Elephas maximus indicus: one gene and its partners. The protein of the gene in region 1 interacts with the protein of each later gene in a pairwise test. Links are inferred from orthologs where the notes say so. Each region holds a gene or a part of one and is shown on either strand. Other genes may lie near its edges. The genes, in order: TXLNB, LURAP1, WASHC3 and CEP57L1.

What was found.
Region 2: the proteins of TXLNB (region 1) and LURAP1 interact in binary tests that used the Homo sapiens proteins (3 or more experiments, as listed by UniProt). The two-hybrid records come from large-scale screens. The link is inferred for Elephas maximus indicus from reciprocal best matches to the Homo sapiens genes TXLNB and LURAP1.
Region 3: the proteins of TXLNB (region 1) and WASHC3 interact in binary tests that used the Homo sapiens proteins (3 or more experiments, as listed by UniProt). The two-hybrid records come from large-scale screens. The link is inferred for Elephas maximus indicus from reciprocal best matches to the Homo sapiens genes TXLNB and WASHC3.
Region 4: the proteins of TXLNB (region 1) and CEP57L1 interact in binary tests that used the Homo sapiens proteins (3 or more experiments, as listed by UniProt). The two-hybrid records come from large-scale screens. The link is inferred for Elephas maximus indicus from reciprocal best matches to the Homo sapiens genes TXLNB and CEP57L1.

The regions. Positions count from the first base shown.
Region 1 is NC_064819.1:209,102,579-209,109,729, reverse strand, and holds the start of TXLNB (beta-taxilin), read left to right. Parts: upstream 1-4,145; 5' UTR 4,146-4,174; intron 4,175-6,620; 5' UTR 6,621-6,634; coding exon 6,635-7,067; intron 7,068-7,151. UniProt on the Homo sapiens protein: Promotes motor nerve regeneration. May be involved in intracellular vesicle traffic.
Region 2 is NC_064821.1:88,831,299-88,839,138, forward strand, and holds the start of LURAP1 (leucine rich adaptor protein 1), read left to right. Parts: upstream 1-4,828; 5' UTR 4,829-4,931; coding exon 4,932-5,129; intron 5,130-7,840. UniProt on the Homo sapiens protein: Acts as an activator of the canonical NF-kappa-B pathway and drive the production of pro-inflammatory cytokines. Promotes the antigen (Ag)-presenting and priming function of dendritic cells via the canonical NF-kappa-B pathway.
Region 3 is NC_064822.1:168,413,148-168,420,831, forward strand, and holds the start of WASHC3 (WASH complex subunit 3), read right to left. Parts: upstream 3,017-7,684; 5' UTR 2,918-3,016; coding exon 2,867-2,917; intron 2,297-2,866; coding exon 2,198-2,296; intron 1-2,197. UniProt on the Homo sapiens protein: Acts as a component of the WASH core complex that functions as a nucleation-promoting factor (NPF) at the surface of endosomes, where it recruits and activates the Arp2/3 complex to induce actin polymerization, playing a key role in the fission of tubules that serve as transport intermediates during endosome sorting.
Region 4 is NC_064819.1:174,987,484-174,994,954, reverse strand, and holds the start of CEP57L1 (centrosomal protein CEP57L1), read right to left. Parts: upstream 3,019-7,471; 5' UTR 2,668-3,018; exon of another isoform or gene 1,461-2,667; intron 1-1,460. Other genes in the region: SESN1 (sestrin-1), read left to right, coding at 4,135-4,413. UniProt on the Homo sapiens protein: Centrosomal protein which may be required for microtubule attachment to centrosomes.

The DNA of each region.
Region 1 (7,151 bases):
AAAACTAAGACTAGAGATCAAGAAAAGACCATTGTTTTAGGCAAGTGGGCCATTGGTAACCTTCAAGCGTACATTTTCCTTAGGTGGATAGGGCAGATACAGAGGTCTGCAGTGAGAGGCTGTAGAGGAAACTAGCATAAATATTCCTTAAATAATTTTTGTGATGAAGCAATGAGTTATAGTGCTTGGTATGTGAAAGGGTCAGTGAATCCTCAAAATAACTCTAAAAGGTGGGTATAGCTATAATCCTTATTTACCAAGTGACTAAACTGAGACACAGAGTTTAAGTAATCCACTCAAATTTATACAGTAGTCAGTGGTAGAAATATGTTTCAAACTCAGGAAGTCTGTCTCCAGCCACAGCACAAAGGAAAGAAGAAATGAAGGACAACATTTTTGTGTGCGTTAGTTTTTTTTTTTTTTTTTTAATGATAATGGAGATTTCATCATTTTTGGAGATTGAGTCAAGCCAAGAAGAGAGAATAACTGAATAATGAGATTTATAGGAAATAAATGATAGGGCAAGATGTTTAGAGAATGGGATTAAGAATAGAACCCTCACCCCTATTATTTGAAAGAACAAGATGATGTCCAGTACCAAAAAGTTTGCCTCAAGATCCTCACTGTCCAATATGGTAGCCACTCATCACATGTGGCTATTTAACACATGTTATGTGGTTAGTTTCAATTGAGATGTAGTGCATATGTGAAATATATACTAGATTTTGAAGATTTAATACAAAAAAAAGAATCTAAGATATAATATTGATAAGTTTTGCATTATTATATGTCAAAATGATAATATTTTAAATACATTGGATAAAATAAATATATTATTAAAATTAATTTCAGTTCTCTCTTTTACCTTTAAAAAAAAATTCTGACTCATGGCAACTCCATGTGTGTCAGGGCAGAACTGTGCTCCATATCGTTTTCAATGGCTAATTTGTTTGGAAATAAATTGCTAAGTCTTTTCTTCCCAGATGCCTCTGGCTGGACTCTAACTTCCAACTTTTTTGTTAGCAGCTGAGCATGTTGACTGCTTGTGCCACTCAGGGACTCCAGCGTTTTTAAGGTGGCCACTAAAAACATAACACTGAATATGTGGTTCACATTCATGGCTTGAATTCTATTTCGATTGGACCATGCCGCTCTAGATGTTCACATACACAAACTAAGCACAGAAGACAGTGCACAAGGGATGTTTATTTTTGTTCTCAGTTTCCAGAGAGCCCTTTTGGTTTTTCTTTTAGGCTTCTGAGCCACTTTGCCAGTTTCAGGGTCTCATATGTCTTTCCTCTGGACCTAGATGGGAAAAAGGAGAACAGGCCCCTTCAGGTCCTAGGCATGGGAGGAAGTGTTGAAAGGCACAGGCATGAAGAAAAGGAAAGTACTGTTTCCCATGTAGTCTCAGGGTAAACCACCTACAAGATAAATAACCTTTCTACTGGCAATACTGACCACCTTTTGGAATAACTTCAGAGTGTTATTATCCCATAGTATTCTTTCTCTCTTTTCTCCACCTTCACCAAAACTTCTTCTGTTCTTTCAGTGTGGTGTGGGCAAACATAAAAGGGTGGAAAAGAGTTTGAGGGCGGGTGTATTAGTTTCCTTTTGCTGCTATACCTGTTCACCACAAACTTAGTGGTTTAAGATAACACAATTTATGTTACAGTTTTGAAGTTTAAAAATCCAAAATGGGTTTTACTAGGCTAAAATCAAGGTGTCACCAAGAATGCGATCTTTCTGAAGACTCTAGGGGAGAATACACTTCTTTGCCTTTTCAGTTTCTATAGGCTGTCTGCATTCCTTGGCTTGTGGTGTTGCATCACTCCATCCTCTGCTTCTGGTATTACATATGAGGACCCTTCACTTACAAGAAGCCTTGTGATTGCATTAGGTCCACCTGGATAATCCAGGATAATCTCTCCATTTTAAGATCTTTAACTTTATTACAGAATGGAGATTCCAGAACACTTAATTGTGCTCATGATGAACCTGTACATAGATCAGTTGTTCGGACAGAACAAGGGGATACCGAGTGTTTTAAATTCAGGAGAGGTGTGCATCAGGGTTGTATCCTTTCACTAACCTATTCAATCTGTATGCTGAGCAAATAACCCGAGAAGCTGGACTACATGAAGAAGAACAGGGCATCAGAATTGGAGGAAGACTCAGCAGCAACCTGTGTTATGCAGATGGTACAACCTTGCTTGCTGAAAGTGAAGAGGACTTGAAGCACTTACTGATGAAGACCGAAGACCACAGCCTTCGGTATGGATTACACCTCAACATAAAGAAAATAAAAATCCTCACAGTGGGACCAATAAGCAACATCAAGATAAATGGAGAAAAGATTGAAGTTGTCAAGGATTTCATTTTACTTGGATCCACAATCAACAGCCATGGCAGCAGCAGTCAAGAAAGAAATCAAAGATGCATTGCATTGGGCAAATCTGCTGCAAAGCACCTCTTCAAAGTGTTAAAAAGTAAAGATGTCACCTTGAAAACTAAGGTGCACCTGGCCCAAGCCATGGTATTTTCAATGACATCATATGCATGTGAAAGCTAGACAATGAATAAGGAAGACTGAAGGAGAATTGACACCTTTGAATTGTGGTGTTGGCAAAGAATATTGAATATACCATAGACTGCCAAAAGGATGAACATATCTGTCTTGGAAGAATTACAACCAGAATGCTCCTTAGAAGAAAGGATGGTGAGACTGCGTTTTACATACTTTGGACAGGTTGTCAGGAGGGATCAGTCCCTGGAGAAGGACACTGTGCTTGGTAAAGTACAAGGTCAGTGGAAAAGAGGAAGACTCAATGAGATGGATTGACACAGTGGCTGCAACAACGGGCTCAAGCATAACAATGATTGTGAGGATAGTATGGGACCAGGAAATGTTTCTGTGGTACATAGGGTCACTATGAGTTGGAACCGACTCGACGGCACCTAACAACAACTTTATCACATCTTCAAAATCCCTCTTGCTATGTAAGGTAATGTATTTACAGGTTTCAGGGATAAGGATATGGGTATTTTGGGGAAGGCTATTATTCTGCCTACCACAGTGGGTGTCACTATGCCCATCTGGTCCCCAAAACAGGAACACCAGTGTTCCTGTTCTGGATCTGTTTTAAAAAATCTGGGTGGATGTGCTTTGGAAAAGTGTGGGAACACTTTCTCCAGAAACAGAAAGAAAAAGGGAATGGATGTAGGTTGAAAGAGAGGCATTTTATGATGAATGAAAAGGAGATTCTTTTTCTAAGGAGGATGAAGGAACAGACTGAAGACTTGAGAAGGGTGGGTAAGACTTGGAAAAGCTGCTGTGGAAGGTGGGAAAGCTGCCCACTAAGGTGAAAGAAGCAGATTGCTTCCCTGAGGGCATGTCGCAGATGAGAACAGTTACCTGAGTTAGACAATGTGATCTGAGATCATGCCATTTACCAGTTGTTGTTGTTGTTGATGTTAGGTGCCTTCAAGTTGGCTTAACCAGGGGGGCCTCAAATTATAAACATGAAGACAACATTAAACATGGTTCTAAAATACCCATCTAAATTTGTCTCTCAAATTTTACGAACAAACCGAACAATGTCATCAGAATCAAAGTGGTCCTGCCATCTCATTTTTGCCATGCCATTGTTATTCTTTTCCCACGATTCCTACAAAAACCTGACACTAACGAGGCTAGCATAAGAAGGTAGGAAAAAAAAAGAAACATGAATCATAAACCACGGTGGAAATAAACCAAGAAATAAGAAAAACTGATCTCTGCCCCAAAGAACAACAATAGCAAAAAATTACACTAGCAAAAGGGCCATTATAGACTCACAGTTTAGACTTTTAAAAAGACAAAACATGGAGGATCTTGTAAGATCTACCGGCTGCTTCTCTTTTCTACGACATTTCCCCGTGAGACGCCTACTGAAGCTTGGGTGTATTTCTCTCTTGCTGTGTCATACAATGCTCCTTTCCCCACCCCCTCCTGTCTGCTGCCAGCGTGGGGTGTGTGTCTGTGTGTGTGTGTCTGTGTGTGTGTGTCTTTGGTTTCTCTCTCCCTTGTAAAAACGTGGCCTGCCTCCTGTCTGCTGCTGCTGCTGCTGCTCTGACTTGCTCTTTGCTGCCTCTTTCTTCTCCTTTCTCTTTCTCCTTAGCTCCTGGCTTTCCGGTAAGTATGATAAACACCCCCCCTCAAGCTCTGTGAGAAGATGCGGGGTGCGGTTTGTGTTGTTCAAAACTGGCAACTATGAGACTGCCAGTGAACTGTTGAAGAACTTTCCATTGTTTTATTTATCATTAAAATGTGTTGCTCAGGCAGGGATGTGTGTGTAAGAATCTGCTGGGATTGCCAATACAAGTGAAGAATTCTCTCAGAGGAAAAAAAAAGAAGTAGAGAGTGAAGTTTGCATATGATAAAATTTAGAAATACTTCTTTCTGCTGTAAAATTAATCAGGAAAGAGATGATTTAAAAGTAACAAGGTGCCTTTGAATTTTTTTTTTCCTGTCTTTGATTTATCTTGAGACCACTTTTAGGAGTTATGTTGTCCAATAATTTGCAGTGACTCCGTTATTGTTTTAAGGTAAATGTGGAACAGGAGATTGAAGGATATTCATGGAATTCATTATTTAAAAAAAAAAAAACAGCAATGATTACGGCCTCTGATGAATAACAAACAAATCAATACAAATAAAGCCCTTGCATTTAGACTAACCACACCTAAAACTCCTATGAACTGCAGGCTTTTTATTACTTGCTTTGATGTTTGGATTACTCTAAATTTTATTTCGTTCTGAGACAACCTCCATAACACTTTAAAACCCACACATAGGCTTAAGCCTGTGCATGTTTACAGTATTCAATTGATATAAAAATTATTCTCTTCCCTTGATTTTCAAGGATAGAGTGCTAAACATCATGACTCCTTTTAGAAGAGCTTAAAATAACTTCTGGCTGGACAGCAGGTGCCATGTGTCTTTCTCCAAGTTTGGGAGGGAGGGGTGGGGGAGCGTGGTAGCAGGCATAAGTTATATATAGATGAACGTACCCAACAAGTAGAGGTCAGAATCAAGAAAATTCCAGTGATGAAGGCAATGAAGCTGTTTACTGCATCATTTGGTAATAAAGTTGGTGAATTCAAATGGGTGGAAGGAAAATGTACTTCCTCCCAAGTTAGTAAATACTTGCTGAGTGCCACAGGTGGGTGGCATAGTCTGTGTGTTGAACTTTCTGTTCTTTTTGGCGTGCAAGCCTTTGACATCTACAGCGCTGAGAGTGGGAGAAGGAAGCCGTGCAGTGTGTAGATCAGTGTTTTCTTTCTTGTGCTACCACAACAGCAAAACGTATGCATTTTGAGGATCCCGCCATGTTTTTATGCTGCTAATTAGCGGTCTCACAGTTAAGTATCATTTACAAATCAAATGTACCATAGCTTAAAGATCTAAGCCAAGTCCATCGCAACCTCGTTCAGAAATGCTGGAATCTTTAACTCATCTTGTCCCTCACCCTTATTTCCTAAGAGCCCATATTATATCTGGATTTCTTCCCTACTTTATTCCCTCCTTAGTCATTAAACATAGCTGTTTCATAAAATTAAATAATGTATCCTAGTGCTTCTTGACTGAATAGAGAAAGTGATCTGTTTTTTTCTAAAAGAAAGGCATATTTTATGTAGGAACAAAAGGTATTATAGAAATTCAAGGAATAATTATGATGAGCATCACCATGTTTCCATACTAGTTGGTTTGCTTATTTATACCTTCCTTCATGCTCCGCCTGATTCCAAAAATGATGCTAGCTTGAGCCTCAGCAAAACTGTTTGCTGATCGGTAATTATATGTTACTTATCCAGGAAAAAGAAAATACCAGAAAAGCAAGAACATATATATCCAATATTACAATGCATTTACATCAAAATATTCATATTAATCCAATTTTGATTTACGGGTTAAAATAGAGTTTCCAGTAAACCCAGTGCCGTCGAGTCGATTCCAACTCATAGCAACCCTATAGGACAGAGTAGAACTGCCCCATAGAGTTTCCAAGGAGCGCTTGGCGGATTCAAACTGCCAACCCTTTGGTTAGCAGCCGTAGCACTTAACCACTACGCCACCAGGGTTTCCAAAATAGAGTTTAGGGATGTTATTATTATGAATGATTTTTAGTAAGTCCAATGGCTCTTACATTGAATGTTTTGACTTTTAAAAATATATATACACCATTTTAATTGAAATATTTTAAATATATATGTCCATTTACTTCCAATGGCTGCGACTCTACATAGAATTTATAAGATAAGGATGACCACAAACATACTATTCCAAGCCAAATGACAAATACAGCCATGATGAGCAATAGCATGGATTACCCTTTTAATGTTAACAGTAGGGAACACTACTGTAATCTAAAGGCCAAAACCAAAAATGTGCTGGTAGTATGACTTGATTTGGCAAAATAGCTTCCAGCTGTTCCTACCTTACTGATCGTAGTCTCAATTGTTCATGAAAATGCATTCGTTCTTTGTTAGAAATAGTAATTAATAGACACCCATTTGGGGATAGCCTATTTACATTTAACTGGGTTAATTACATTAACCCTAACTGTGTTTACCACTAGATACTACTCTAAGTATGGAGACTAATCAACCTGTACAAGTCTCAGAGGAACCACTTCCAGAGGACAGTTCCTCATCGTTACCCGGTCAAAATGGCCCAGAGAAGCCAGATGGCCAGGAGTTCTCAACTCCACTCCAAGCATCAGAGAAAGAACCAAGTGTGCAACCTGAAAAGGGAGCTCATGATATCTCTGAAGAGTTGAATCGACAACTGGAAGACATCATAAACACATATGGGTCTGCTGTGGGCACAACAGGGAAAGAGGGTGCTGCCAAAGCCAAGGAGCAGCCTGAAAATGCAGAATTGCCTGAGAACGAGGATGGGGACTATGAGGAAACCACTGAAGAGACCGAAAGAGAACCCACTGCTCCTGGGGAGCCATCTGCAGCCAAAGAGTCTGTCAGCAATAAAGAGCAGAAGTTGGAAAAGAAAATCTTAAAAGGATTAGGCAAGTAGTTGTGTTCTAATATATGAATTTCCTTTTTTTAATTCTTCTTTATAAGGGGTACTTCCTCCAACCATTACTAAAAGC
Region 2 (7,840 bases), on another chromosome or scaffold:
CACAATACCGGCAATAGTAATACTTAGAGAGTTGTTGCGAAGGTTAAAGGAGAAAACACATGCAAAGCACTTAGACTAATACAGCGGTTCTCCAACTTTAACTTGCAGCAGAATCACCTGGGGAGCTTGTTAAAATAGATTCCTGGGCTTAATCCTTAGAAGTTTTGATTCAATAGTCTAGGCTAGGGTGGCAGTTTGCATTTCTTACAAGTTTTTATTTGAAGTTAATGGGTGGTCACGGAACAATTGTAAGCAGGGGAGTGATATAACCTGATTTTTATTTTAATGGATTGAAAGGAGACATTAGAGGAAGCCAGAAGACCAGTGATAATATTTTTAAGTTCTTCATATTCTACTGGCTTCTTAAAGGGTGGGATGGTATCCCGCAAAATGTTAACTTATTTTAGGAATTGAGGCATTCGGTGGATTTTTTCTAATAAGCGTATATTAGAGCAGAAGAAAACCCAACACTTTTTACTAACATATTTAAAAGATGTCTTTGGGTTTCTACCTAACCCTCTTTTCACAAATTCTCCATGGACGATCTCACCCACTTTCATGACCTCTATTACCACCTAGACTTGTAAACTCATAACTGCAGCCCTAACCTCTCTCCTGAGCTCCAGGCCAACCCATGTGTCAACTAACTGCTGGACATCTTGGACAAAAAAAAAAAAAAACAGTTACGTTGAGTTGAATTCAATTTATGGCAACCCCATGTGTGCAGAGAACTGCTCCGTAGGGTTTTAAAGGCTGTAACCTTTCAAAAGCAGATCACCAGGCTTTTCTTCTGAGATCCTCCAGGTGGGTTCAAACCACCAGCCTTTCAGAGTGGGGCACTTAGCCAACTGTACCACCCAGGGACTCCAGGCATCCCCACCAAAAAAAAAAAACCAAATCCGTTGCCATTTAGTCGATTCTGACTCATAACGACCCTATAGGTCAGAGTAGAACTGCCCCATATGGTTTACAAGGAGCGGCTGGTGGATTCTAACTGCTGACCTTTCAGTTAACAGCTGTAGCTCTTAACCATTACACCACCAGAGCTCCCAAGGACATTTCCACAGGCCCCTCCAATTCATGACTCTGGCTGAAATCATCTCCTCCCACTCCCAGACCTCTTCTTAGGTTTCCTTCCTTGTTGAATCATATCAGGCCAAACAGCTGGGCGTTAGCCTTGGTTCCTCCTTCTCTGTCCAGTCCCCAGGCCAGGTCTGTTTGCTCACCACTATATTCTTCACAGGGGGCTCTGGTGGCACAATGGTTAAAGTGCTCAGCTCTAACCAAAAGGTCAGCGGTTCAAACCCAACAACAGCTCAGAGAAAATACCTGGCCATCTGCTCCGATAAATATTCACAGCCTAGGAAACCCTATGGGGGCAGCTCTACTCTGTCCCAGAGTCGCTCTGAGTGAAAATCAACTGAGCAGCACACAATAACATATTCTCTACACTACACACAATGGTTAGCACATAGTGTTGTTGCAGGGTATAGTGTAGAGAATATGTTGTTAGGTGCCATCGAGTCGATTTTGGACTCATAGTGACCCCATGTGACAGAACAGAACTGCCCCATAGGATTTTCTAAGCTGTGTCTTTACGGAAGGAACCCTGGTGGCACGGTGGTTAAGTGCTTGGCTGCCAACTGAAATGTCAGCAGTTTGAACCCACCAAAGACTCCACAGGAGAAAAGACCTGGCGATTTGCTCCCACTAAGATTTATAGCCTGGGAAACCCTATGGGGCAGTTCTGCTCAGTCCTATAAGGCCACTGTGAGTCAGGATTGACTGGATGGCATACAATAATTTTTTTTAATTGCATTTTAAGTGAAAGTTTATAATCCAAGTCAGTTTCTCATACAAAAACTTATACACACGTTGTTATATGACCCTACTTGCTCTCCCTACAATACGACAGCACACTCCTTCTCTCCACCCTGTATTTCCCATGTTCATCCAACCCAGTCATGTCCCCCCGCCTTCTCATCTCGCCTCAAGACAGGAACTGCCCACATAGTCTCATGTGTCTACTTGAGCTAAGAAGCACAATCCCTACCAGTGTCATTTTATGTCTTATAGTCCAGTCTAATCTTTGTCTGAAGAGTTGGCTACGGGAATGGTTTTAGTTTTGGGCTAACAGAGAGTCTGGTATCCATGACCTCTGGGGTCCCTCCAGTCTCAGTCAGACCATTATATCTGGTCTTTTTACTAGAATTTGAGGTCTGTATCCCACTTTTCTTGGCACACAAAAATTTTTCCAGGAGCAGATCTGCTAGGCCTTTTTCCTGAGGAGCCATTAGGTGGGTTGGAGCTGCCAACCTTTTGGTTAGCAGCCAAGCATTTAACTGTTGCACCACCAGGCCTCTTAGCACATTGTAGGCTCTCCATAATATTTGTTGAAATAACTTATTTGTTCTTTTAACAAATATTTATTTAATTAATTTTTTTTTATTTTGCTTTAAGTGAAAGTTTACAAATCAAGTCAGTCTCTCATACAAAAACTTGTAAACCACCTTGCTATATACTCCCAACTGCTCTCCCCCTAATGAGACACCACACTCCTCCTCTCCACCCTGTATTTCCTGTGTCCATTCAACCTGATCCTGTCCCCCTCTGCCTTCTTTTCTTCCCTGCAGACAGAAGCTGCCCACATAGTCTCATGTGTCTACTTGAGCCAAGAAGCTCATTCCTCACCAGTATCATTTTCTGTCTTATGGTCCAGTCCTATCCCTGTCTAAGGAAACCCTGGTGGCATAGTGGTTAAGTGCTATGGCTGCTAACCAAAGGGTCGGCAGTTCTAATCCGCCAGATGCTCCTTGGAAGCTCTATGGGGCAGTTCTACTCTGTCCTATAGGGTCGCTATGAGTCAGAATCGACTCGACGGCACTGGGTTTTGGTTTATCCCTGTCTGAAGAGTTGGCTTTGGGAATGGTTCCGGTTTGGGGCACACAGAAGGTCTGGGGACCATGACCTCTGGGGTCCCTTTAATTTCAGCCAGACCGTTAAGTCTGCTCTTTTTACAAGAATTTGAGGTCAGCATCCACTGTTCTCCTGCTCCCCCAGGGATTCCCTGTTGTGTTCCCTGTCAGGGCAGTCATTGGTTGTAGCTGGGTACCATTTAATTCTTCTGGTCTCAGGCTGATGTAGTCTCTGGTTTATGTGGCTCTTTCCGTCTCTTTGGCTTATTTTTACCTTGTGTCTTCAGTGTTCTTCATTCTCCTTTGCTCCAGGTAGGTTGAGACCAATTGGTGCATCTTAGATGGCCACTTGCTAGCGTTTAACGCCCTAGAGGCCCCTTACCAAAGTGGGATGCAGAACATTTTCCTGATACATTTTATTATGCCAATTAACCTAGATGTCCCCCGAAAACATGGTCCCCAGGGCCCTGTCCCTGCTACTCTGCCCTTTTGAAGTGTTCAGTTATATTCAGGAAACCTCTTTGCTTTTGGTTTAGTCTAGTTGTGCTGACCTCTCCTACATAACTAATATTTATTGAATGCCACCGTAAATAAATGAATGTAACCAGTCACCAAGTCCTGTCAATCTTACATCCTAAAGAGCCCCATTCTGGTCTGATTCTTTCCAATCTCACAACCAGTCTGCTAGTCCAGGCTGTTTCAGTTTCTCATCTTTTAACTGGCCTCCTGGACACCAGATTTTTACCCCTTCAATCCTTTTTCCTTGTGAAATCCAGAGTAAGCTTTCAAAACTACAAATGTTTTTTGTCAATCTTTGACTTAAAGCCCTTCCATGGATGAAGAGACACTGTCTAAAGAACAGTGTTACTTAAAATCACAAAGGTAACCATTAGATGAACTAAAAATAGTGATAGAAGTATAAAGGACCATTGGAGGAAGGGAAATAGAGAGTATAAGTTATATCCATATTTATAATAGGAAGTCAGTAGACAATGTTTAAAATCAAATAGTAATAGTATAAGCCTACTGTTTAGAATTATGGGTTAAACACCAGGAAAAGAAAAACAACAACAACTGAAAGTGGTTGCCTATGGGGTATTGGACTAGAGGTGGGAAAGGAAAGCAGGAGTAATATTTTCATTGTAAATCCTTTTATAACCATAGACTGGAATTTCTTGGTTTAAACTAAAAAAACCAAGCCAAATTAAAAAAAAAAAAAAAGTTTTTAGTGGCTCTTCATTGCCCATAGAATAAAACATAACCTTGCTACTCAAAGTGTGGTCTGTGAACCAGTGGCATGGCCAACACCTGAGAGCTGGTTAGAAATACAAAATCTCAGGCCTCACCACTTACAGAACAAGATTCATAGAAGATTCATATGCACAATCAAATTTAAGAAGACGGATTTACAAGAGCCAGCATAATTTGGCCCATGTGGACCTCTCCAGCTTCAGCACTGTTTGCTTCCTCACTGGCCGGGAGGGCTTTCATTTCTGCTCCTTCTCTCTTGAGTTCTAGCCACGGGGCTAGTATTGGAGTGTGTGTTCCAGTGACTAGCTAAATCTAGACAGTTTTAGACCCAGCTCCTCTGCTCCAGGAAGCCTTCCAAAATCCTCTGCAGCCCTCTGCTACCGCTGTCCTTTAACCTTCCACATCCCCGACTGAGAATGCTTAGCCTTGATTCAGCACGCATTTATTGCGCGCCTGCTGTGTCCCTGGCTGGATTCAGTGCCCGAGTAGGGAGAAGACGTGGAGTTCTCCTAGGTACCCTTTCAGGTACAAATCCAGTATCGGCCAGCTCGACACATTCCAGGGCTAGAGGTTGTGTGCGCAGCACTCGAATATATACCTAGATTTGCGCAGCTTTTCTGAGTGTTACGGCACCTTCCTCCCGCCCCCCGCGCCGCGCGGGCGGGGACCCACCCGGTCGGCTCCGCATAGGCGCGGGAGACTGGCGGTCCCTTGGGAACAAGACCCCGGCGTCCGGTCTCCAGCACTGCTCAGGCTTGGGTCCGGATGGAAGGGGCCGCGGAGTCCCAGAAGCCTGACCTGCGAGACGTGGAGGGCAAGGTGGGCAGGAAGACCCCTGAAGGGCTGCTACGCGGGCTGCGAGGCGAATGGGAGCCAGGGACCCCTGGCGCCCTGCTGCTCCCGGGGGCAGCTAGCACGGGCCATGGCCTGGGGGACAAGATCATGGCGCTGAGGATAGAGCTGGTGAGTGTCGGCTCCACGGGCCAGGGGGTCGGAGTATCCTGTGTAGGGCCGGAAAGGACTGATTGATGCCCCCAGAGTTGGGCTGGAGAGGAGCGAGTTAAAACCCCTCACCTACCCCTCAGGACCCCACCCAAGTCTTTTCACAAACCCTGAGGCAGAGGTGGATTGATCTCCATTAATTGCCCCCGCAAGGGTAAGTGGGGTGTTAATGGGTCCTGAGGACTTGGGGTGGGAGGCACAGACTCTAGGAAGTTATCCTGTCAAATAAATGGGAGTGGGAAAATGAAGTCTGAGAAGCTACTGAGAACCTAAAAAAAAAAAACAAAAACCCACTGTCACAGTGACTCATAGTGACTCTAGGACAGAGTAGAACTGACCGATAGAGTTTCCAAAGAGCGCCTGGTGGATTCGAACTGCGGACCTCTTGGTTTACGGCCGTAGCACTTAACCACTACCCACCAGGGTTTCCACTGAGAACCTACGAGAGCACAAATCCACACAGGGACCACCTGTTTCCACCTCAGCCCCCTTTATAGGACATCCAGTTTTTTTTCTCCCTCTCCAAACTGGGAGCTTCTTGAGGACTGGGAAGGGGTTTGGTTCATCTGAGGCTCCAGTATTGAGGACAGGATTCAGCACCGAAGAGATCTGGGTGAGGGCATATCTGCTGAAAACTGCCTGGACCAGGAGCACTAAAAACATTCTCCCTCCCTTTGCCCAATGTCCCCACTTCCCCCTTTCCCGCTTGAAATATTTGAAAGTTCCTAGAACCATGACAGACACAGAGTAGGAGCACCATCAGTGTCTGTTCCCTCACCTCTGACTCAGTCTCCTACCCCAAGGTACACTGGATACTTGGATCCCATCTGTGTCTCCCTGGGGAGAAGATGAGGAAACAGGCACCCTCATCCCTGGTGCTGCTGGTCTAGATTCAGAGCCAAAAGGGCAGCTACCCGCTTCCCCCCACTCCTCACAGACTCCCCAGGGTCCTGGTTCCTGAGCAGGTGGTGATTTACACCTGCCATCACTTTGCAGCTAGTTTTAGGGATCTGAGAAATTGCTGGCCAGTCCCTGGCCCAGAACCAGGAGCCCACAGTGAGTGTGTCAGCTAAAAAGTCTTCCTGGAGCCCCACTGTGTGCCAGGCTGTGCTGTGAGGGATGGAGGGAGGAGATCACAGGGCTCCCAGACCAGTTAGGGTTCTTACCTCCTGAGAGGATAGGAGAGCCTTGTGGGCGGAGCAGTCAGGGAAGGCTCCCTGGGGGAAGGACCTGAATGCCAAGGGTGCACTTGGCCTTGAAGGTTGACTCTGCTAACCTGAGGCGCAGGGTGGCTGGGGGTTGGGGAGGGCTGGCTTTGCCTTATCCTACAAATAAAAGTTAACTTTCAGTGAGTGCATGTGCCAGGAATCATGCAATACTTTACGAGATATTATCTTAATCCCCACAGCATTCCTATTACATAAGCGATATTTTATGGATGAAGAATCTGAGGCACCGAGAGGTGAAATAACTGCCCAAGGTCATACAAAAAGTAAACAACAGAGCCAAGATTTGAACCCAGGTGGTCTGACTACACTTTACATCTTAACATTGAGACCTGCCTTGTGTCACATGCTTTAAACACATTGTCATTGAAGTGAGAAAGGTAGTCATCATTTTCCCTGTCACACAGCTATGGAAACTCTCTTGGAGATATTAAGCAGCTTGCCTGAGCTCAGGCAGGAAGTCAGCAGGGGAGCCATGCCTAATCACTCTTTTCTGCCTGTATTGGAGACTACTGTCCATGAACTTGAAAGGAGGTACATTTAACTTTTGATTTGTCTCTCTGTATTCTTAACTTTGCCTGGCCAGAGGCTGGAGGGAGGGAGTCTTCTGAGGGCCAGAACAGGGAGAGGCTCCTTATAGACACCCACAAATCCCTACCCCAATCCTTTCTCCCTCCTCAGGCCAGGGTGTCATTGATCCCTTCATGCACTCTGCCGTGACCACTGGCTTGGGCTCAGGGAGGACAAGGGGTGGGGCAGAGGGATTTCCCTTGGAGCCACTGGTGGCAGGACTGGTCCAAGTCCTGTAAGGACTGTCCTTCAACTGACCCCTTCCCAGCTGTCCTTACAGGGAGGAGCAGGCCTGCCTTTGAGGCCAAGGTCAGCTCTGCCTCTTCCCTCATGCCTCCCATCTCTATTCAAGGGTTGAGAGAACCAGCTGAAGTCTGGGTTATGTGGGAAGGAGAAACAATGGCAACATCCCCTTGGTCCTCCCACCCAAAGAACTGTTTCCAGGACAACCCACCCCCACAGAGCAGCTTGAGGAAAAGCTTTTAGGCCAGGAAGGTGAAGACATGGGTTTGAGATCTGGCTCTGCTCCTGAATTCTTTTGTGGTCTTGAGCAGGACCCTGTCTTTCTTCTTCCAGCCTCAGTTTTCTGCCTCTGGGAATAGGGGGTGGGATTTTGGAACTAGGTACTCTCTAAAGGCCCTTCTAGTAACAATGATCTGAGAATCTCAGTCCACAACCAGGATGCTGGGAGTGGGATCTCCAGGCTTTTACCCTAGAGTCTGATTTGGATGGAGCAATGAGGTAGCCATATCCCGTTATCCCAGGGCTGAGTAGAGAGTCTAATGTGTACATGTTGAGGGGAGGGGGTAGGGTGATTCAGAGAAGAAACCTGAATCCCCCTTGGAAAAGAATCAAGTTGGGGTGGCCTCTGAGGCT
Region 3 (7,684 bases), on another chromosome or scaffold:
CAAGTTAATAGACCAGAGATGGAATCCCAGCTCTGTTACTTTCTAGCTGTGTGGCTGTGGGCAAGTTATACAGCAGCCAGTGATGAATGAATGAATGAACAAACAAATGAATAAATGTCTAAGCAAATGATTTAAGCCTTTCTACAGCTCAGTTTCTGTGTAACTGGGATACCTGAACCTCTCTCAAATGGCTGGGCTGTGATGATGATCACGTAAAGCACTTAGTACAATGCCTAATACAGAATAATCACATGATAAATATTAGTTATTGTCTTTACGGAAACCCTGGTGGCATAGTAAAGAGCTACAGCTGCTAACCAAAAGGTTGGCAGTTTGAATCTATCAGGTGCTCCTTGGAAACTCTATGGGACAGTTCTACTCTGTCCTATAGGGTCACTATGAGTTGGAATTGACTCGACAGCAACAGGTTTGGTTTTTTCCTTACTGTCATCACATTGAGCAAACATATCTATAACTGACACAATTATCCAAACCTCTAAAGTGAATTGTAAAATACGACTTACAATCAACCACAGGTTATCATCCTTAGGAGAAAGAGGCAAACTACTTTAAACTTATTGAGTTTTTGGTCAATAAGCTTTTTCTCAGAGTTCACGAAGAACTAGGAAGTAGTGACATAGCCAAAACAGTTGGGGGAGAAGCTGAGAGAGGAACAGATGGGGGAAACTTGTGAAGCATGAGGCTTAAAAGCAATCAGTAAGTAAGTGATGATTATTGTTATCTTTGCTTTAGCTGTCAAACAGACAACACTCTCCAGGCTTTGAAAATTGTTAGGTACTACAATGAGGAGGGGTTATCCCTGCCTTAGAGCAGCTCAATCAAGTTGCTTTCACAAGAGTGTTTACTTCTTGTTTTGTTGTTGTTTATTCTATTTTTTAATCTGGTGATGAAGCATATAGGGATGGAGTATCTGCTCCTCTCTATTAACAATCCTGAGATACTCCCCACCTAGATACTTCACCCTACTCTGGTATAAAAAGTGAAGGGCTAAATCCTTGGCTTACTGCTTTTTATTCAGTCAATTCTATCTCCAATTAGAAAGGCACAGTACAAAATAAAATACATGGAAGCAAGCACCTAGGCTCTGGACCTGCTGTTAGATAAAACACACTGTTTTGATCCCCTGACTCTATCAACTGGCATATCATACCATATTTTATTTTCTTTTGTCTTAATGAGACGGTAAAAAGATTTTGATAAGTAGGCAAAAACAACAGCAGGAATCTTATCCGCTGAAAACAGTTTTCCTATCTCCATAAAAATTGTAGTAACAATAATACATGTAACACTCTACTAGCTAAGGCTATTTACCTCATATGAAACAGAATGAACTTCAAATTGTTTAATCAATCAACTCACCTAACTATCTAAGCCCCAGTGAATTATCTAATCCCCCTGATTTACCTCTCTCTCTTCTTTCTTAAACTTAATTTCAAGCCATGTTTCCAATTTGCCTTACCCATCTTTTTTTTAAGAACAAGAATCCCTGGATTTGGTACCTACTCCTTAATCTGGTACTTAATCCTCACTTACGAGTTATCTGCAGAAAATATTCTTATTTCCATAATGACATCTGATGCCAAAGTTAGCTTTCTAGGCTACCTCTCCAGGGCATCTTTTGGATCAAACCAAACCAAACCTGTTGCTGTCCAGTGGATTTAGATTGATGGGGACCCCACAGGGCAGAGTAAAACTGCCCCATAGGGTTTCCAAGGAGCAGCTGGTGGATTTGAACTGTTAACCTTATGGTTAACAGCCAAGCTTTTAACACTGCACCACCAGGGCTCCAGTTTGGATCAAGGAATGTAAAACAATTTGAAAATAAACTGAAACAATATATACTTAAAAATGTAAATATCTGGGTAAGAGCACATGTAACAAATTTCAAAATCACAAGTGTTTTCAACTATGAAATCTTGGAATTCCTTTTATTCTCTTTAATCACAATAAGCTTTTTTTTTTTTAACCACAATAAGTCTTACTGAACTATCTTCCAAAGACCTTTAAAACACTATTCAGCAGAGGTGGAGTGCAGGACTGACTTTAGCTTAACAAAACAACTGGGTGACAAGAGGCCAATCTGAACAGAGTGATTCTTCTTTAACTCCATTTGCCATCCTCAAAAAAAGCAAAGTGATTTCTAGGCTACTCTATAAACCAACATCACAGGACCTACCTCCTCACAAATTGTAGAAAAGTGGTTGAGGAACTGTACTGTGTGCACCACAAATTGGTTTAGAAATGCCACCGTTCTTTTCTGTTGAATAGCTGGCACCTGTGTTATGTAAAAACAAACATGATTCGTACCGGAGGAACGTACACAGTGCAATTCCTTTGACATATGGGCATAGGAACAGGGCGTCTTGCTGTGTGATATGAGTTTCTTGAAGTATTGACAATCGTCATTAACTTGTTTTCATAAACTGTGAGGTGGGGGGTCCGAAGACGATAGAAGCTACATAAAATTTTGAGAATTGACTCCGGATTCACAAATTTTACAGGTAAAGGCAACACAGGTAAACACACAAAAACACGTGGGGGCCGAATCAAAGAGGTAGGGTTAAGAGGTCGCAACGGGCCCAAGTCGCCAGTCGCTCGTCTCCGGGCACAGAGACACGTTACCCGGGAAGCGAAGGCTGGGAGAGGCACAACATCCCCTTAATCAGCTCTGGAGGGACCCCTTTTCAAGGTGAAAGGTGAAGACTCCCTCCCGAGGCCAGCAGAAGAGGGGCCCGGGGCCAGGTACAAGGTGGGGCCTGGCGAAGTGGGGTCTTTCTGGGAACGGGGAGTCCCTTCCTCGTCCTCCTCCCCGGTCTCCGGAAGTTCAACTCCGTCTTTTACAAACCTTGGTCAAGTCTATGCCCGACCCCATGAGAGGAAGCCCGTCCTCATCCATCTCCTCAGCTGGCGGGGAACCCAGGGCTCTCTTCCAGACCCCTCCCAGACAGGGCCCGCCCAACCCGGTAATAGCGCCCAGACACCTCCACAAATCCCCGCCTCCTCAGCCCTTCCGCCGGAAGAAAATGCCTCCGCTCGCCAATCACTCGGCGACTCCCCGCGAGCCCGCCCCTGAGCTCAGCATTCTGGGATTGGTAGTTCTAGGTCCAGATTGTGACGTCAGACTGGGGGCCGCAGGGTTGAACCAGGCTGAGGTTTTGGTGGTAAAATCTTGAAAAGGGGGCCAAAAAAAAAAAAAAATCAGGAATTGCATTCTTACAGTGATCTGGAAAGAGCTTTGCACTCTTGCACACTTAGAAATGAGAGGTGGAAGTGAAGATGGATAGGATGAAGAATACTTTTAAATGCTTATCGTTTCATTGGTTTTTTTGGGGTTCATGTCCATAACTAGTTGAGTATCATCGAATATTTTTAATTGTTGTCTTTCAGCAAATCTGTTGAGTCCCTCTCATGTTCTAGTACTCTACTGGGACTTGTTAGGTGCTGTCAAGTTGATTCAGACTCATAGCGACCCCATGTACAACATAATGAAACACTGACCAAACACTGTGTGGTCCTGTGCCATCCTCACAATCATTGCTATAGTTTTGAGCCCATCGTTGCAGCGACTGTGTCAATCCATCTTGTTGACCGTCTTCCTCTCTCTCTTGCAGACTCTCTACCAAGCATGATGTCTTTCTTCAGGGACTGGTCCCTCCTGATAACATTTCTAAAGTACATGAGACAAGTCTTGCCATCCTCACTTCTAAGAAGCAGCCTAGCTGTACTTCTTCCAAGACAGATTTATTCATTCTTCTCGCAGTCCGTGGTATATTCAGTATTCTTCACCATCATTCAAATGGGTAAATTCTTCTTCGTTCTTTTTCATTGTCCAGCTTTCACATGCTTATGAAGTGATTGAAAATACCATGGCTTGGGTCAGATACACCTTAGTCACCAGAGTAACATCTGTGATTTTTAAGATTTTAAAGTGGTCTTTTGCAACACATTTGCCCAATGCAATATGTCCTTCGATTTCTTGACTGCTGCTTCTATGGGCATTTTTTGTTGGTCCAAGTAAAATGAAATCTTTGACAATTTCAGTCTTTTCTCTATTTGTCATGATGTTGCTTATTGGTCCAGTTGTGAAGATTTTTGTTTTCTTTATCTTGAGGTGTACTGCATACTGAAGGCTGTAGTCTTTGATCTTCATCAGTAAGTGCTTCACATCCTCTTCACTTTGAGCAAGCAAGGTATCATTAGCATAATGCAGGCTGTTAATTAGTCTTCCTCCAGTCCAGATGCTGCATTCTTCATATAGTCCAGCTTCTCATATTATTTGCTCAGCATACAGACTGAGCAAGTATGGTGAAAGGATACCATCTTGACGCACACCTTCCCTGATTTTAAACCACACAGTATCCCTTTTTTCTGTTCAAATGACTGCCTCTTGGTCTATGTACAAGTTCCTTAGGAGGACAATTAAGGGTTCTGGAGTACTGAGACTACAACTATAAATAAGATAAATAGTGTGACAGTTGTAGGCAACTGTATTGTTTTGTCTTTTCACCTTGATAAGGTCTACATGAGCCTAAATTTTTCCATTAGACTGTAAATTCTTTGAAGGATTTTCTTCATTTCTTATGACTCCTCAGTTAGTACCAGCTGCTCTGCTTTGCAATGAAAACTCATTAATAATTTTAATACACAGTTTTGAGGTTCTACTATGATCCAACTATGGTATCAAGCACTGAAGATTCATCCACCCATCCATTCTTTGAACAGATGTTCCCTACAATGTGCCACCAAAACCAAACCAAACCCACTGCTGTCAAGTTAATTCCGACTCATAGTGACCCCGTAGGGTTTCCAAAACTATAAATCTCTATGGAAGCAGACTGCCACATCTTTCTCCCACAGAGCCACTGATGGTATCGAACCGCTAACCTTTCAGTTAGCAGTGAATCACTTTAACCACTGAGCCACCAGGGCACTATGATATGAGTTGGGAATACAACAGTTAACAGAACACACAATTCCTGCCTTCACGTAGATAAACAGAAAATAAACAAGTTAACAAACAGATACTAAGTTGTCCAGGAAGAGAGACAGAAAAATGAAAAAAAAAAAATTTAGTGTGATAAAAACTAGGCTAAAATACGCCCCAAAGAGGAGCACCTAACCCAGGCTGGTGAAATTAGGGGTGACTTCCTGAAGGAGTTGATGCATGAGCTGAGTTTTGAAGATGCAAACATAAGCAAGATGAAGAAGATTGGGAGGAACATTCCACAGAGAGTATCAACATGTGTGAAGGCACTGATGTTTGAGCCCCAGAGACCTACATTTCCCCTGTAAAAGCGCCCCTCCGTTGGTTTCCACCCCATCTTTAATAGGAGCAAGGATTCCCACTGAACTCGTTCCAGAGCTCTGCTTGCTCCTGGCGAGTCCTCACCCTTTCCTCCTCCACTATCACTCTGCACTTTGAGGTCATCATAATTATTCCTGGACTCCTAAGTTATCTCTCAGACTTCCAACCTCATATTGATTTCTACAAGCCTTTTCTTGCCTCTCACCAGCTCAACAAATCCTTTCACAATGCCCTCTGGAACTCAGTCATTAGCAAAATCCCCATTTTCTCAACGTCTTCTTTGACCATTCCTCTCTTTCTGCTCTAACTTGCCTGCTTATTAAGGATACTGCTTCCTGTGCAGCCTGTAGTTGTTTTCTTGCCCACATCCCTGAATCATTAGTTTAGGAGGTGTTTTCGTTCATCCTCACTGCTTCCATACCATTGCTTTTCCTTCCCCTAAAAATGCCCCACAGCTCTGAGTTCATGCTATCCTATATAGAAAGATACCTTGTAGCATCCCTCTACAGACCTTTAGGTCACTGCTACTCTTTCCTTGGAGTCCTTACTTTTTGTCTCACTGCCACTGTTTATAACACTATTATCATAACTTGTGGGATTTCAATATCTGCGAACATAATCTTTCTGGTACCTTGGTGTCATGGATTGAATTGTGTTCCCCCCAAATATCTGTCAATTTGGCTAGTAGGCCATGATTCCCAGTATTGTATGACTGTCTATCATTTTGTCATCTGATGTGATTTCTCTATGCGTTGTAAATCCTATCACTATGATGTTAATGAGATGAATTAGTGGCAGTTATACTGATGAGATCTACAAGATTAGATAGTGTCTTAAGCCAATCTCTTTTAAGATATAAAAGAGAGGAGCAAGCAGAGAGACATGGGGATCTCATACTACCGAGAAAGCAGTGCCGGGAGCAGAGCGCGTCCTTGGACCTAAGGTTCCTGCGCAAAGAAGCTCCTAGACCAAGAAAAGGTTGATTAAAAAAAAAGACCTTCCTCCAGAGCTAACAGAGAGAAAAAGCCTTCCCCTGGAGCTGACACCCTGAATTTGTAGTTGTAGCCTACTGGACTGTAAGAGAATAAATTTCTCTTTGTTGAAGCCATCCACTTGTCGTATTTCTGTTACAGCAGCACTAGATAACTAAGACACTTGGTCTCACAGTTCCTTGAACTCCTGTCCTTTAGTGCTCTTGTCCTCCATTTTCTTATTTCAGCCACACTCACTCTTCCATGGGCATTCTCCAGAACTTTTCATTGCCAAATATCTTCACTCTCTCCATAATCTTAATTTGAAGGATCCACTGTCTGGTCGGTACTTTCGATCTTTTGAGCTCATTCTCTCTGTTATCTTGACTTTAACAGTTCTTCGAGCCATCACGAGAAAGCTTTTTCACTGTACCATAACCTCATTATATCCTCACTTCCTTTTTTACCCAGTTTAGATCTTATGATTCATTATAATCACCCAACAAACTTTTCCCTCCCTCCCTTCATCATACTTACCTGGCAAAAACGTAGTAAATGGAATGTTCTGTCTCTTCTGTACCAATTGTATACAATTAATACCGGTTGGCCTCAACCAGACCCTGTTTCACTTTAAATTCATGCTCTCTTGAGGTTATACCGTCACAAGCTCCCACTGCCACATCTCTTTTCAACCCACATCTGAGCCCTGAAACCTTGCCTTTCCTACAATTACTATGGATAATCTCTCCTACTATATAAAGCCAATTCCTCTATTTGTGTACTAGATACTATTCCTTCTCACCTACTTGAGAACAAAACAAAAACATCACTCCAATGATTGCCCCCACTCTCTCCTCTATCGTCAATGTTTCCCTTTTCGTTGGATCATTCCCAGCTGAATACGAACATGCTATTATTTCACTGGTCTTAACATAAATGTCTTGACTCCACTTCCTTCCCTTTCCAGCTACCCTTTTCAGAAAGATTCCTCAAGATTGTCCACCATCACTCCCTTCGATTTCTCTCCTCCCAGTCTCTCCTAATCCTACTCCAGTTAGCCCACTATGCCATAAAAACTGGTGATCTCAAGGCCACCAATAACCTTCATAATGCTAAATCCTTTGATCATTTCTTTCTTCTTATTTAGCTTGGATAAGCAACATGTGACAAAGTTAATCACCTTCTCCTGCCTGAAAATTTCATTTTCCTTCCAGGATATTACTCTTTTCTGGTTTTCCTTTTATCACTCTGGCTACTTCTTCTCATTTTCCTTTGGCTGGTTTCTCCTCATTTTCCCAACCTGTAATGTTTTTTACATTTATATATCCAGCCCAAATCTCACACTGGAAGCCAGTGTGGCTGAAGCAAAGTGTACAAGAAGGGGAGT
Region 4 (7,471 bases), about 34 Mb from region 1:
TTCTGATTAAGATGAACTAGGAAGAATGGCCTGCCAATCTACTTCTGAAAACCAGCCAATAAAAACCCCACAGATCATGATGGTTCAATCCACAACTGATGATGGATATGATGCAGGACCGAGTGTTTTGTTCTGTCATGCATGGGGTTTCCATGAGTCTGGGCTGACTCCATGGCAGCTAACAACTCAAATGTGTAGGCATGCTCCTGCCCACAGGCCTTTGCATTGGCTGTTCTCTTCACCTGAATGTTCTTCCCCCTAGCATCTTCAGATCCCCTCAGATGCCTCCTTCTTGGTTAGGTCTTCTCTGATTACCTTATTTAAAAGTGAGCCCCACCCCCACAACCCAACACTCCCTATTCCCCTTCTCAAGTTTTTTCTTCAAAGCATTTGTCTTCTTCATTTGATTCACTATACATTCACATATTTATGTATTGTCTGTCTCTCCCTAGTAGAATGCAAGCTCTCTGGCAGAAGGCAAACACTTTCACTTGGCTTCTAGGCCACTACACTCTGCTGCTGTCAGAGCTATATTCCCTGGGTCCTGTTATATAGTAGGTATTCAACAAGTATTTGGATGGTGCTAAAGCAGATAGGGAAGGCAGTTCAAATCTGCCAGGGGTTCCTTGGAAACTCTACGGGGCAGTTCTACTCTGTCCTATAGGGTCTCTCTGAGTCAGAAATGACTCGACAGCACTGGGTTTGGTTTTTTTGAAAGCAGAGAGAAATGGGTGGATTTGAGGGATATCTGGAAGATAAGATTGACAGAACTTGCTAACAATTTCGCTATAGAGATATGAACAACAGGAAGGAATGAAGGATGATGCTTAGCTTTCAAATTTTCACAAGTGAATGGATGGTAGTGGCCTTTACTAAGATAGGGAACACTGGAAGGAAACCAGATTCACAGGGAATAACTGTGTATTTGGTTTTAAGCATGCTGAGTTTGAAGTGCTTTTAAGATACGTGAGAAAAAATATTAAGGAGATAACTGGATATACGAAAGCTGAGAGGTGAACCTGGATGGAGCTATACATTTGGAAACCAAAAACCAAAAACATTTGGACGTCATCTGCAATAAATAGGTACTGGTGAATCCATGCATATGGTTGAGATCATATTCAACTATGGAGTGAAAAGGGAAGCTAGCCTTGAGAAACCACCTTACCCTTTGTGGGCTGGGTAAAGAAGGATGAGCCCACAAAAAAAGCAATGTTTTTTTGTTTTTAAAATCACACTTAAAATAATAGCTATAACCATTTTTATTCTGATTTAAACCAGTAGCATTAGAATCCTTCCAGGCTTGCCAAATTACACCAACTCATTGGTCACTTTGAGAAACTACCTGAAAATTTTACAGTACCTGTCTTTCTGCAGCTTCAAAATATATCAATATACAAAAAGCCATCCCTCCCAAATTATGTGATTTGGCTTATTGCAGTTTCTTTAAAGTTCCATACCTCTCTCGCTTCTGGGCTTCAGCATATGCTCTTTCTTTGGCCCCCAATTCCCCTGGGAAAGAGACTCCACTGCACCTTGGTGGCGCAGTGGTTAAAGCCATCGGCTGCTAACCCAAAGGCCAGAGGTTGGAAACCACCAGCAGCAGCTTGGAAGAATGATGTGGCAGTTGGTTTCCGTAGAGATGTACAGCCTCAGAAACCCTATCCCTATGGGGTCGCTATGAGTCAGAATCGTTTCAACAGCAGTGGGTTTGGTTTGGTTTTCGACTTCCAAGACTTGGCTGGGTGGCCCTCTTTCTAGACACTCCAAAGATAACACTATTACATAGTTCTGTTTTTGTTTAGGTAGGGACTGTGTCTCTTTCACTGTTTAGACCGTGCCTACAATGTTAAATTTTTAGAACTGGATCTGTTCTGCAACGTGAAAAATTAATTCTAATCTTATCAGTTCATTGATGGGCTTTCAAACCCCGACTTTTCTCAAGTGGCATGACTTTTTAAATATGGTCTTTTTTCCCCCCATATGGTCTCGTTAAAGCCTGCAAGAATTCTTATCATCTACGAATGTTGGAGATTGTTTTTCTTTTAGTCTCATTCGAAACGGATTTCACAAGTCGCTTTCAATGCCCTACTTGGGATTCATTTGAAGACTATCTCTACACAGAGGTAAGCTTAGGCTCGAATGCACCCAAAACCAAACCCATTGCCATCGAGTCGATTCCGACCCATAGCGACCCTACAGGACAGAGTAGAACTGCCCCATAGAGTTTCCAAGGAGCGCCCGGTGGATTCGAACTGCCGACCTCTAGGACAGCAGCCGTAGCACTTAACTACTACGCCACCAGGGTTTCCGCTCAATTGCACGGGGGTGTCTGATTCATCCCGCGCATGTTCACTACAGAGGGCAAACGCAGGGACAGCTGCGCGGAGCATCCGTTTTCATTTCATCCTTTTTGCATCTTAAAGAAGGCCGCTCACTCCCAACTTCGGGATCGCGACCTCCAAATTCTCGCCTCACCACGCGCAGGAGCTTAGACACCTGGACTAGTACTTCTTACTCAGGTCACTGGAAAAAGTCCCTGGACTGTCTGAGCAGCAGCCTTGGATGGCTTCGTCTCCAAAACCCCAGAGGAAAAAGGAGGAAGAAAAAAAAAAAATCTTGTCAAAGAAAGCCAGGAAAGAAAGCAGCCAAGCCTACAGTGCTCACCAAGCCGACGATCCAGTCAATCCGCGCTGCCTAACCGTTGGCTTGTAGGCCGCCACAGGCAAAGTCGCGGTGGTCCCTGGGGGTTGTAGTTTCTGTCGCAAACAAAACACCCGCAGAATAAAAACTACGTTTCCCAGAAGTCAACGCGAGGACACCCTGCCTCCTTAAATCGGGGTTCGGGCTAATAAAGAGGCCGTTACTATTTTTAGACAAATCTTAAATTTAGCCTGTTTCTTCCAGGAGTGCTCCGTGTCGTCTTTCTTTACCCTGCTTGTCTTTGATAAAGTTTCAGCGTACTTAATTTTTTCCCCTTTCTCCACTCCAACACCAAACGTCTGACAACAGAAAACGAACCGTGAAGAAGCTAAGTGCCTTTAAGGCGCATGCACCGTCCTTGAGGTTACGCATGCGTAAGAACCGGCAGCCGTTGGCGGCCGCGCGCGGGCTTGGGGTCCGGAGGTAGCAGGGCGAAGGGCGGGGCTTTTTCCAATGGCTTTTTTTTGCCTTCGCGGGTCGCGTCTGCCTGGGCGGGGAAGAGGGCGCAGGGGCAGGGGCGGCTCCTGGTTTGTGCCGGGCGGAGAAAGGGGAGGGGCTGGGGGTGAGGACCCCATCTCCCCTCCTTGCTCCCGCCCTTTGGGCCGATCCCCACCGATGGGGCTGGACGAAGGGGCGGGTTCTGTGCCTGGGGCTCTGCCGCACCGCCAGCTCTGCGGCCCAGCCCGGTGCGGGGCAACCCTGTGCTGGTCTGGCTTGGCGGGCGGTGGGCAAGGGCGCAGGGATCGGAGAAGAAGCGGCGTCTTCCTGAGGGTCGGGAATCGGCGGGGCCGAGGGCGCTCTCCTCCAGTACTGCCTCGGAGACTGCATCTGCAGAAGACACCCGCCCCCTGGAGCGCTCAAGTCTCCGACCGCCGCGGCCCGTGGGCCAGGGCTCGGCGAGTCGTCCCCGCTGGCGGTCAGCGGGCCGCTGGGGCACAAGGAGGAGCTGCGGAGGGCGGGGACTGGTGCCGGAGAGGCGGGGTGGGAACGCTCCGGTGACCGCCGTGCCTGCACTGACAAAAACCCCCGAATGACTGGAGAGTGTTCAACTGGTACCAGCCTTTCTGGGCATAGCACGGATTTGACAGCTCCACGTCGTGAGGATATCCGCTGACCCCGCGAGACGAAGGACAGCACTTCCCCGAGAGTCCCTCTCCAGCACAGCCAGCGCCGTAAGGTTGCAACCTTCCAACTTTTTTTCCCTTCAGTCTTTGACCAGTGTAGAACCAGAGGGTGAGCTCTGTTTTGTAACTCGGTGGAAATCATCCGTATAAGAGACAACCGGTTCCAAATGTCACCCGAACGTGCGTTTTCTTGACGATTCGATTTCTCTGATTTTACTCTTACATTTCTGATTTAAAAAATAAAAACTGCTTTTGCAGACATGGTGAAAGGTAACTGAAGATTGAAAAAGAAAAGCTCCAAGTTGACATGGCTGAAGGAGAGAATGAAATGAGATGGGATGGACTGTGCAGTAGAGATTCAAGTACCAGAGAGATAGCACTGGAAAACATTAGGCAAATAATTTTGAGGAAAACCGAGTATTTTCGTTCCGTTAAAGAGACACCACATCGTCCGTCACACGAGCTTTCAAATGCTGTTTCTTCGGATGGGTTGAATAAACTTCTTGCTCATCTGCTCATGCTTTCTAAGAGGTGTCCTTTTAAAGATGTAAGAGAGAAAAGTGAGTTTATTCTGAAGAGCGTCCAGGTAAGGAAAGCTTTATAAATAATGCCGTCTATCTAGTACACCAAAATTTTACTTGCAGTTATTCACTTTGTGTTTACTTCTAATACGTCGTCATGATGTAAACTCTAATCATCTTAAAATAGAGTTTTGGGTTAAAATTGGAAAAAAATGAACTAAAGTAAAAAGCAATTTTCAAATATAAGTAAACAAAGTATTGTCTTTCTAGAGAGTTTTAGGCAGAAACTGCATTCCTCAAATATATGTGATAAAAAAAAATTTTGTGTGTGTGATAGTTACAGTTAATTGCAAGTAAAGACTTGGCTTTTCCTGATATTAACTTTTTCACGTTGTTGTGAAGCAGAGCCAGTGTACTTTTCCCATTGTTACAAACAGTGTTCTGGGTGGGAAGTGTCCCATATAAAAACCTTCAAAATGATAAGAGGATATTCAATGTTTCCTAGTCTGCTTGTTCAGGATAATTGCTGAAACAATTTTCTCTTGTTCTTAAAAACAAAACAAACAAAACACAGGGTGTGTTCTCTAAATGTAAGCTTTCCTTTTTTAAAAAGAATTATATAAAAAAAAAATTAAAGCCCATGTTATAAAGGAATTCAAAACCCAGGCAGGATATATGATGGGAACACTTTTATGGTAAATTACTCAGCCAACTTTCTCTGTATTTGCCTGCATGTTTTGTTTATTTTTCACATACATATTTATTTAAATTGTGAGTGCAGCAGATTAAAAATATTTAGTTTTCCCCATTTCGTACATTATTTATTAGAATTTTTTTTTGCAAAAGGTTGCCTTTAGATACTAAGAATGTTCGGTAATGTTGTTTATATATGTTTGTCAATCTATAAGTTACTTAATCCACAGGTGTTCTTCAAAGTCATACTATGAAAAATTTTTTAAATTTATAATTTACTTGGATATATGTAAACTAGGAAGCCCTGGTGGTGTGTGGTTAAGTGCTACGGCTGCTAACCAAAAGGTCAGCAGTTCGAATCCACCAGGCGCTCCTTGGAAACTCTATGGGGCAGCTCTACTCAGTCCTATAGGGTCGCTATGTGTCAGAATCGACTCAACAGCAGTGGGTTTGGTTTTTGGTTATATGTAAACTAAGATGAACAGTTTTCTATACTGGCTTGAATTTAGTTTAAAGCAGCAGAAAAATAATCATTTCCATAAAATTAAGACTCTATGTAGATCTTGGAATATTTCTTCCCAAGAACAATTTGGAAACAATCATTGTAATTTATTTGTCCAGAGGTACCACAGAGAAATTAATTTTCTAGATACCTAAAGTCTACCCTCTTAGGCATCAAAAGTTATTTCTCTGGCCCTAGACTGTAGTGATGAAACAACCTTTTTTTTTTTTTTGTAATGGGCTCATCATGATGCACACCAAGCACTGTTGTAAAACAGAAGGTGGGGTGTATAGGACTGTATGACCCTACACTGAGAAATGCCATCTTGATATATTTTTTGAATTTTTAAAGTTTTTCAGTGCCTTCTCTTTCTGTCTGCATACTTCACTTTGGTCTTTTCCTGAATCATTTTCCCGCATATTTATATTATTAGGCTGGGAAACCAGATAATCAGTTTTGTTAAGAGTTATTTGGAAAATAGAAATATGTAGGTTCTGAAGGGAGTACAGGGCCAAAGATCTGTGATATGTAGTGGTAAGTGAGTACCAGAGTCCCTGGGTGGTGGAAACTGTCAACAAGCTCGGCTGCTAAACGAAAGGTTGGAGGTTGGAGCCTACCCAAAGGAGCCCCTGAAGAAAGGCCTGGCAGTCTGTTTCTGAAAAATCAGCCATTGAAAACCCTATGGAGCACAGTTCTACTCTGACACACATGGGGTTGCCATTAGTGAGAAATGACTAAACAGTAATTTTTTTTTTTAATGGGTACTAGAGTCAGACATACCAAAAACCAAACCAAGCCCAGTGCCGTCGAGTCGATTCCAACTCATAGTGACCCTATAGGACAGAGCAGAACTGCCCCATAGAGTTTCCAAGGAGCGCCTGGCGGATTTGAACTGCTTACCTTTGGTTAGCAGCCGTAGCACTTAACCACTGCACCACCAGGGTTTCCAGAGTCAGACATACCTAGTCTCAAATTCTGCTACTTTCGCTGTGAGTCAGAATCAACTTGATGGCAATAGGTTTTTTTTTGTTTGTTTTTTTTATTGTACTAAGGAACCCTGGTGGCACCATGGTTAAGTACTCGGCTGCTAACTTTTCGGTTAGCAGATCGAAGCCACCAACTGCTCTGCAGGAGAAAGATGTGTCAATCTGCTTCTGTAAAGATTACAGCCCTGGAAACCGTGTGGGGCAGTTGTCTTATAGAGTCACTATGAGTTGAAATCAACTCAACGAGATACAACATTAATGTACTATGTAATCTTGAGCAAGTTACTTGACCTCCCTTAACTTGGAATTCCACATCTGTGAAACAGGAATAACAATATAGAGCAAAAAAAAAAAAATAGTGAGAATTAAATGAGATGTAAAGTGCCCCAGCATATGGTAGATGCTCCTTTCCCTTTTCTTAAGTAAAATGCATGAACTATATGATATTTATTTTAAGACTCATTAATCCTTGAAAAAGATTCAAGAGTCTCTTCTACTGTGAAGGTTTCCTATAGATTTATACTCTTTTTTTCATCTTTGTATTTATTGCACCTTATTCCTGCCACAATTATAATAGATGCTTTCGTTATTATGGGGTAATCACATGCTTATGTGTCTGTCTTTCCAGTCAGGGCTGTGAGTTCTCAAGAGTATTGGCTGAGACCTGAAAGCTACTAAATAAATATTTAGTGGATGAACAAACCTGTATTTGGCTTCTTTTTGTTTCTTATCAGTCTCAGTAGATGAAGTTAACAGATTAGTGAGTTTCTGTGCCTACATCATTCATTCAACAAATATTTATTGAATCTCTGGTAAATGTCATTCTAAGAACTGGGGACCAGTGGTGAACAATTTTGACATTCTACTCCAGAGAGACATACCGTAAAGAAGTAAACAAAAAAATTTAATTTTAGATAATGAGGAAAGAGTTTCCTGAGGAGA